Linked DNA regions of Caenorhabditis elegans. The protein of the gene in region 2 purifies or fractionates together with the protein of the main gene of each other region. This does not show direct contact. Each region holds a gene or a part of one and is shown on either strand. Other genes may lie near its edges.

Evidence for each region. Proteins that work in one complex are often made in the same cells at the same time.
Region 1: the proteins of sax-7 (region 2) and dma-1 purify together in Caenorhabditis elegans (affinity purification with western blotting; 2 studies listed by BioGRID). This does not show direct contact.

Annotation. Positions count from the first base shown.
Region 1 is NC_003279.8:8,280,065-8,285,010, reverse strand, and holds dma-1 (LRRCT domain-containing protein), read right to left. Parts: upstream 3,043-4,946; 5' UTR 2,946-3,042; coding exon 2,742-2,945; intron 2,666-2,741; coding exon 1,834-2,665; intron 1,682-1,833; coding exon 1,497-1,681; intron 1,400-1,496; coding exon 1,271-1,399; intron 1,222-1,270; coding exon 1,114-1,221; intron 1,067-1,113; coding exon 713-1,066; 3' UTR 534-712; downstream 1-533.
Region 2 is NC_003282.8:8,060,947-8,065,694, reverse strand, and holds the start of sax-7 (Neuroglian), read right to left. Parts: upstream 3,037-4,748; 5' UTR 2,964-3,036; coding exon 2,915-2,963; intron 2,595-2,914; coding exon 2,417-2,594; intron 2,081-2,416; coding exon 2,004-2,080; intron 1,666-2,003; coding exon 1,373-1,665; intron 1-1,372.

The sequences.
Region 1 (4,946 bases), on a different chromosome or scaffold from region 2:
CACCGATCCGTCATTTTTCATAGTTATGTCTTGTTCTTCGTGGTCATCTATCCAACTTAATTGGCATTGGCTTACTCCAATTGTTTTGGGTGTCACTTGGGAATCTAACGGATGAGACGACGTGTCATAACAGATTGTGCAATCTACATCCACGAATTCGCGCGCGTGTGCACATACATACGCACATCAATTTATTATTCGAATGGCTCATAAACTCATAAATTAACGAGTCCCTGTCGAACAACCAATTTTCAATTCATAAACGTCAAAATTTTGTGGCTACGGAGATTTTCCCGCGGAGTTTTTTTAAACGAAAAAGTCAACTCTCCTTCTCGAAACCTTCTCAATTATGCATTTGTCTTGGTGTGCATTTGACAAATGAGTTGACCCCCACAGAGAACCAGGGCGTAAAGACAACAGCCTCGCCGATTTATTACTTCTTTGCCGACGGATTTACGGCCGAGAAGAGGTGTCTTACCTCTTGAAAACTACTATTATGCTGCTGATTAAGGCTCCTGTCTATTTCATTGAACTTGGTATATCTACGAGCAGTTTATTTTATTTACAGACAAAGGGTTAAACAATTGAACACCGTATCGAAAAAGGGGGCAAAAATACATGAAAATGGGGCTGGGAGATCGAACGACTAGATGGATGCAAATAATCACACGGATTTAGATTTTTGAAACATTTGAAACTCTCAAAAGGATATTTAAATGCCAAAATAGGATGATCCAGGTTTTGGAGGTGCTGGTGGAATCAATGGAGGAGTGGCTTTAAATGTTTCAGTACTAACCAAGAATGGATCAAATGGTGGTGATAATGGACCATGTGTATCATTTGTACTCGAAGAGCAACTATGTGTGTTTGCCATCGTGAGTGGAGTTCGAGAGTGTTCTCGTGTCACATATGATCCTTTGTACTGTCGCTCACGAAGGAAATAGATGCATCCAAGAATCATAAGAAGTAGTGCGGCAAAAAGGAGAACTCCTGCGAGAAGTATGAGCATTTCACTTGTTTGCGTTAATCCATACCGTGCACCAAACAAAACGGCACAGTCGTTTACCTGAAGTTTTTAAATAGTGAAATTAATAACGTGAATGTGAATCTTACGTCGGTAATTGCCAGAACTGAATGACCTTCCACAAGCGATGGTGTCGCGCATCGGACATTATCGTAGTTGAGAATGTGTCTCATCGCATAACGATCTCGCATATGAACCTGAAAAGATGTTCGAATTAATTCAGAAATAAGAGAGGAAAAGACTCACTTGAAGTCCTTGAATAGCACATGAACAATCCCAAGGATTTCCATCTACGTACACTTGTTCAACATTATTTAGGAATGCCAAATCTGTATGCGAGAAGGTGTGGAATCGGTTGGCTGTGATGTCGAAAGTCTAAAGAAATCTCAGTGAGCAGGTTTCAAATGACATGCGTGTCCCCATATAAGGGGGTCCACAAACGCTTCGAATTTCGTATAGAAAATGGACATACTTTCACATTTGGAAGCAAAGTGTTGATATTGTCAGGCAAATAAGTCAATTCATTTCCGGAAATGTTCAATGAAATCAGGTGGTAATAGCGAGACGGCAGCTGTACCGGGATGAATTTGATGTGGTTGTAGGCCAGTTCGAGATGAATCAACGACTTCAATGTATAGGTCCATGACTCCTCGAAATCTAAAATTACAAATTAATTATGCCATCTCTAGTAACTTTGAAAAACCGTTCTTCAAATTTAAAAATCGGAAAAACTTTTAAATTAAAAACAATCTAAAAAGTTTTAAAAATCTAGTTTTGGGGTTATTTTAACTTTTGCTACAAAAACTCACTTTTCAAGAAATTTCCTGACAATGCAATCGAAGTCAGCTCTTCTTGTGCCCATCCCAACCATTTTGAGTCAAAATCATTCATATGATTGAATGACAAATCCAGATGACGTAATGGCATCGTTCGGAACGCATCCTCGTTAAACGGAGAGTCTTTCGAAATTCCGAGCAAATTGTGGGAAAGATCCAATTTTGAGATATTCGTATTGCAAAATGCACAGGCTGTGATTTCTTGAATGGAATTGTGAGACAAGTCGAGAACAGAAAGTTGAGGAAGAGATCTCAGTTCTTTAGTTGGAACCATTTTGAGATTATTTCCTCCGATTCCAAGTTGACGGAGTTGAGGAATACGATCAAGAGCCAGAGAATAAATTGATGAAAGATTGCAATGATTCAAATATAATTCATCCAATTGGGAAACATCTGTGAATAACTCATTGATGTGTTCAATTGGAATAGGATTCCGGTCTAGTCGTAGAACTCGAAGAGAATTGAGACCTCGAAGTAAATTTGTAGAAAGATCACTGATAGTATTATTGGATAGAGACAATGATCGCAGGGCTCTAAGATATGTGAATACTCCAGTTGGAAGAATATTCAAATGATTCGATGATAAATCCAATACTCGAAGTTTTGGCATACCACCAAAGTTGCTCATTGTCGCATGCTCAATATTGTTTGAGTGTAGATCTAATACTTCCAAAGATGGCAGTCGAATGGATCGGGACATTGCTGGAATCTGACAATTGATGAGACGAAGAACTCGAAGCTGTGCAAAACGGTTTATGTTGTCATTCCATCGAAGTTTGTTAGAACCAATGCGATTTGAGGGCGGCTAAAACAATTTATGTAAATGAAGGGATTAGATTGACGGACGGACGTTGTGGTTTTAGATCTTATCGTTTACTAACCTGAATATGAAGTGATCGAAGAGTCAACGGAAGTTGGTTTAGAATTTCCGCGTAAATCGTATCGTTTATGATTGCCTTTCGACAATAAACACTCCAAGACGAGTCATTTTGATCGCATTCACAAAGATTCGGACATGATGATGGTAGTGCAATAGAGCATAATACCAAAAAACTTAAAAATAAAAGCAAAATGTATGAAATCATTGTTCCAATTCGGAACAAAGAATCCTTGACTTCTCCAGAAGACAAACAACACAGCAGCTAGAAGCAGCAAACGTGAGGCAAAACACCATGAGAAGGCGAAGGGGACGGGCGGATAAAGGGGCGGGGCTTAAGGCGAAGGAGGGTCAACAGAGACACCACCCATGGGAAGAAGAAGAAGAAGGATGACCGGATAGAAGAGGAAGAAGCAATGTGTGCCTGACAGCACCACCTAATGTTGTTTTCATGTACCAGAGGGTGGCAATTATCACACCACTAAAAGAAAATCTATTCCCGCTTCAGGCGTTTTTGGCGTCGGGTGGTGGATGCTTGAGTTTTCTTGGAAGCAAGAGGGTGTTTGACTGAATATAATAGTTCTAAAAAATTTCAGAACCATCTCCAAGGACGAAGTTGAGCTTATCTATGTGAAGATCTATGTAATATCATTATCATCTGAGCTCAAGCAAAACTTTGCTCCTAAAATCTCAACGTCATGCTAAGGTTTCTGATGGAGATTGCATTCACGAACTTATCATATATTCATGAGGTTCTGTTAAATTGTGCAGCTCCACTCGCCCCCGTTCTCGATTGCACCCGGCTGTTCCCTAGATTTCTTCAATTTTCCCTTCAAAGTGATTTTACGAAAGCTCCAAATTATAGAGAATGCTCTAAAGTGATTCAAACGGGCATTGAAAAAAAACAAACGTCTTCCTGTAATAGTGGTCAAGGATGCCAGATGTGAAAGGGTGGGCATCACCAAATGTCAGCAGGCAGGCGCTTTTCGTTTACGACTTGCCCTTTTATTGGTGTACCCGTGTGTGTGTGTGTGGTAATAAAAGGTGATGGTGACTCTTTTCTCTGGATAGTGTTCATATTGACTATGGTGCGAAGATAATTGAGCAGAAGATGACGACGACAAGTGGTGGGAGAAGACAAGCATCGGAATTGTCGACGACATATGGTTCAAATTTGGTGGTAATTCATCCGTCATATCGAGTACCACAGAATACACTTGGCATCGAATAAAGGATCCTGTGGACAAATAATGAGCTGTTTTTTATCCGGTCAACCGAGGGGAATACTGTAAATTCAATTAGAGGAATACGGTACTTTACAGTAAATATCCATACCGTGTCATAAAAGCTTTACGAAGTATTTTCATGAAAAACGTTCTTATAAAATTATGCTTAATTTCGCATACTGATTCTTATCCGACGATTCGGTAAATCATAAAGACCAATGACTAATGCAAGAGACCTCTCAAACTGTATGTCAACACCCAATCAATCTCATTGCAAGATATTCCCGTCAGCATCCAAAACCCAAAGAAAGTGTCAAATTGCTCCTTCCAACACATTTTCGCTTATAAACTCATTAATCAAAATGTTCAATTTCCGTTTGAGATTGAATCTTTTCCGGGTTGTCGGCAAACTTTAACCCAATTCCACCGCATTCGTTGTCTTTCGCTCTTCCAAGCCCGCTCATCACAGACAGACCAATTAAGATGGTGTGAATCTCGGTGAGCACCCGCGTTCGGTTATCCTCGTGTGGAGTGACGAACACCACGGCTGTCACTATCGGAAGTGTGTGTTTGGGGTAATTTATCCACACACCGATTGACATGTCACACAAGCTCTCGCACTCTTTTCATTTATCACACCTGAAGAAAGTGTTGGCGTATGTGTGTGAGGATTTGCGCATTGTGTTGCGGTGCCCTTCAAATGTTTGATGTATCATTTTGTATGCACGAACTCTCTGGAGGACGTGTCCATGGAACTGACACTCATTTTCGACAAGTTTTCTATTCTACGATGAAAATATTTTACGAGCGTATTGGGAGTGGAACTCCCGCCGGGAAAATAGGAATATACATATATACTCGGCAATTCCCGGCAGCTTCTTCCCCAAGTTTGGGCCTTTTCAGCTTCTTACCCAACTCTTGCCAACTTCTAGCCCAGTGTATGCCCAAGTCTTACCCAACTTCAACAATTCTAGTGTAAACTC
Region 2 (4,748 bases):
GGTGAGTTTCGTAAAAGTGCAAGACTAATATAAAAACTATTTTTAAAAGCATACAAAAACAACTGCTTTTTGATTCGCTAAAAAAGTAAGCTTTTTCATCATTTAAAACAAAAAAATGGAGACAATTGAAAGGTCTCGTCAAAAAATTTCAATCAAATTAAGACGACAAAACCACCACTTAACAGCAGCTAATCTGTTTTTTCTTCGTTTCTCTCATTCCCGTTCTCTCCTCTCCAAATAGGTTCACACCAGTATCATCATCTTCGTTCATATTATGTGAGGCCACTTTTCACAATGTGTGAATGGAGGATAAAGCTCAAAGGGTTACTTCTTAGGAGCAGCTAATGTCTTTCTATCCACTTCAAAATATTCTCATTTCAACTGGTTAAACTTCAGAAGGTCATTTCTCATCCTTCAACCTCCGGGGGTATGTCTAACTAATTGCGATGGAGACGTAATAACAACGGAAAAAATGTTGCAAACTACTGAATTACGCAACGGAAAAATGGTGGCGGAAAGGTACAAATAGAAGTGGACAGGTGTTGTTGTAACGCAAAAAAAAACTTATTCATCTGATGGAGACGTCGGGAAAAGGGTCTGTATTATAGGGGTTACAATAGAATTTGGACATAGAATATAATAATAGTGAGAAGGGCGATGTATATTGGTATGATGTATGAATAGAAGGCAAGAATCGACAGAAGGACCTAATTGTTAGTACGTACACTAGAAACAGATACCAACTTAACAACAGGAAATTTTAGCATAAAAATGCCAAATGTAAAAATATAATTTGATTGCATATTTGTCGGATAAATTATCAATTCGTCGAAATAAGTGTTTAAAGCTGACCATCATATGCTATATTTTCAAACGTACTTTTCGTGAGAACGAAACAAAAATGCTTTAGATGTTGTCAAAAAAAATCAATTTGGCTTGGGAAAATGGGAAAGTAGTTTTCGAATTGGCTTTAAAAACGAGAATCGTCGAAATCATCCACGAGTTACAATTTCAAAATATAGAATCGAAACACTTTAAAAACTTCTGTTTGATTTGATTTTAATTGAAAAAAAATACATGGAAATTGAAGTTTTCTTTAGTATTTGAAGATTGGAACGAGCAGCAAATTTGAAACTTAATCGCAGAGATTATTCGTCTAGTTATTTTTTTTTCGAAAAATTGAATACGATACAGCCAGAAGCACTGAATAGTTTTTTCTTCAATCTTTCTCCAAAAATCGTTCAATTCTATGAAAATTGTTTGATTTTGGTTTACAAAGAACAGGGAGTGAATGAGAAAAGTTTTCTTGGCACAATGAGGTTACGAGAAACGATCTGTAAAAAGAATGAAAAAAAAAACTGTTATCACTCACTTGTTCATTGCTAGAAATATGACTACTACTGATAGTTTCGAAATGTCCCGGTTCTTTTCCCATAAGAATCCAATAAACTCTTGCGTATGGATTACTAGCAGGTGGAGAACAATTTCTTTGGTACGGATCTCCAACTTCGACAACTACAACTTCTGGTTCCGCAGTTTTGAAATGACGAATCCATGTTTCTTGTACACGGACAGGACGATCAACAGCTGTTCCATTCGAATTTTCAGCTTCACATTGATATAATCCGGCATCAGATTCATCAAGACGGGAGAACACAAGGCTTCCTGGAAAATGTCATATTTATTTCAGAACAGGTTTTCTGAAAAACCGAACTTTTTTTTAATGAGAAATCAATATTTCTCGGTTTTTAGGCCTAACCGAAAATTTCGATTTTTTTTGGATTTGAGGAAAAACTGTTTTCCTGTTTTTCCTGCATGTGGGAGTTTTATAATTGCACAAAAATAAAACAAATTTGTTTATATTTAAATGAAGTGAACTTTTTTCAAATCAGAATAATAATTTGAAACAAACATTTAACTATTCAGTTACTCCATCTTTTTAATTTCAAAAATGTTCCATATTCTCTCAATTTTAGATTTTTACAACAACAAAAAATATTCACCTTCTCCTGGTTTCTGAACAACTTTCTCCGGAAACATGGACGGCAGGAACGTCTTACCATCCTTTTTCCAACGATATCTGTAATAAAGAAAATAGTATAAAAAACATATTTTGAACACTTTTTAATTCTGGAAGTTGAAAAATAAAAATGCAAATGGAAACTGTTCGTAGAGCATAATGTTGAATTTTCAAATTTTTTAATGCTCCACCAAAACTGCCAAAAGGATTTTAAAGCAATTTTAGAAGCAGTAAAAAGACTTCGAATTTTTTTTCAAATTTAGATAGAAACTACCGTATCTTTCCCAATTAGTATTGCATGCAAGTCTAATTTTCAATAAAAATTATTTTAAGATATTTGAAGATTCATTTTTTTTTCTAAATTTTACTTTTTCAGAAACATTACAAAAAACTTACGAAGGCCTTGGATTTCCATTTGCATAGCAATGAATCGTTTGTTCGAGCAGATTACCGGGCGTATTTTTCGCCGATTCATCACTCATTCCACTTTTTTCGACTTTAAAGTAAACGGTATCTGCATTCTTATCGTGAACAAATTGTGGAGGAGTTTCGATCGCTGACCAATCTATGCTGCCTGAAACAGTTTTTATTAGAAATGTTGCTACATATATATGGATATTTGACAATTGTTTCTGTTATAGAAATATTTGTTTTTTGTTCATAAATTTGAGCACATCAAATGCTTTTCAGCGTTTTTCTCAATATTATTTATTTACAATTTTTTTCTATAAAAAGGCTTTGAATATCTTGATTCCATATTTATTTTCATTTTTGCCATTAAAAAACAACAAAAAAGGGCGTAAAATGATGTTGCAATCAAATATGTCAACATGAATCGCCAATCAAACAATTTTCGAAGCGATATGATGTCCTCGACGTCAAAAGAATTCTCACCTGATGATATGTGGCCAGTGAGTAACAAGAGGAATATGAAGCTCCTCATGATGGTGGTCTTTCGACGTGATCTAGAATCGCGTCGAACTTCGTTCGATACTCTTTTTCTATCCTGAAATTGGAATAAAGCTTGCGAAGAATTTTGAGAGAAGTTCGGAGAAAAAACAACGAGAAATGAAAAAAAAGGAAACGTTAAGAATTAAACAAACATGAATTAGTTTGAAAAAATAGAATCTTCCCTCAATTTTCAAGAAAATAATTGTACTACTACTTGTGCAAATGAAACTATTCTCGTACAAAATCTGATTCATCTTTAAAATTTCGAAAATTGGGATTACATTAAAACCGGAAAATAAACGAAAGACTTTAAAATCAGAAGAATGAAATAAAGAACTTCTTATTTTGTCTAGGTTTCTCCTTTTCCCGATTATGCAAATGAAAAAAAGCGAGAATTCATGGGAATCTACCCCGCTGACCGAAAAGTGACCATGAGGAAGCACGTTGGATTAACGATGAGAATAAGAAATTAAATCTGTTGTTTGATTCATTACGAAAATAAAATTAAGAGAAAAAAGTTTCGAAAATTATCAACAAAAAAAGTTATTTTTAAAAAAGTACAGACAAAAACATAAGGTGGAAAAAATGGAATGCAAGATGAGAAAAGAAGGGCATGAGGAGAAGTCAACGGGGGTGATAGATGTATTCGTTGACAGTCCACACACACACACACACACACACACACAGAACCGACGCAATCTGCGCATGGCGGTAGCCGATGGCATTGTACTTTACCGGTTGTCTCGTTTTTTTTTGCAATCAGAACGAGAGCTGCTCCATTCTTCAGAAGCGGCCGTTCTTCAAGGACGTTTTCAGGAAAGAAAAGGAAAAAAGAAAAATGCGTTCGCGTCACGCTACTCGATTTTTGTTGCTCAAAATGTTCTACGCACGAGATGTCACCTATGAGACGTATGGATGCGTGGGTAAAAGAATAACAAGACTTCAAAGATTCTGGGCCACAAATCATTTACGACAGAAAATAGGTGATTTTTATCCGAAAAAAGCTAAATTTTCAACACAGCGCGTCTGAAACATTCAAAACGGGAACATGATCAGGTTTTTAACGGAAAATGTGATTTAAACGTTATTTCGAATCGAAAACGACTTTCAGATGTTTTAATTTACTTTTAGACTAATAAATTTTGTAGTTTTACAAGTAAAAACACTAGAAAAACAGAGAAAATTCAGAGTTTTCGTTAAAAATCGTTTTGGCGGCGAAACAAAACAAATGCAAGTACTGTAGCAAAGGCGCGCAACAGAGCGCACATGCTCGGGTCTCGAAACGATTGCAAAATTTCTGGTCTACCTTTCGATCAAGCCTAGTTTCTCTATTGAATTATTCGTTTTTTCTTTGGATAACGCGATTTAAAAATTTTTTTTAAAAAAATTATTTCTAAAATAAAAAAATACAATTCAGTTTCATCGACTTGGAGACATGAAATTTTTGATGCGAAAAAAAAACCTGTGACACCACAGACTATATACTTCCGGAGCATTGTGCTAAGTCGATCGGACAGATTTCTCGAAATCCTTTCGTCCGCATTACTCTCTATATGTCACGGAAGAAGGTCGTAAAATGAGTGTGTCTCTGAGCCAAAAGAGGTCTGGTTATTTCTCCAAATTCATAAAATTTGGATTTGGCAGTTCACTCTCTTTTCCTCATTATTCATAACACATCAATCTTGCTTTCATGAACACCGCCACGATGAGCAGATCAAGCAGAACATAGAGAGTAGCTTCAACAGCAGTGAACATCAAAAAGAATGAATTATTAAAT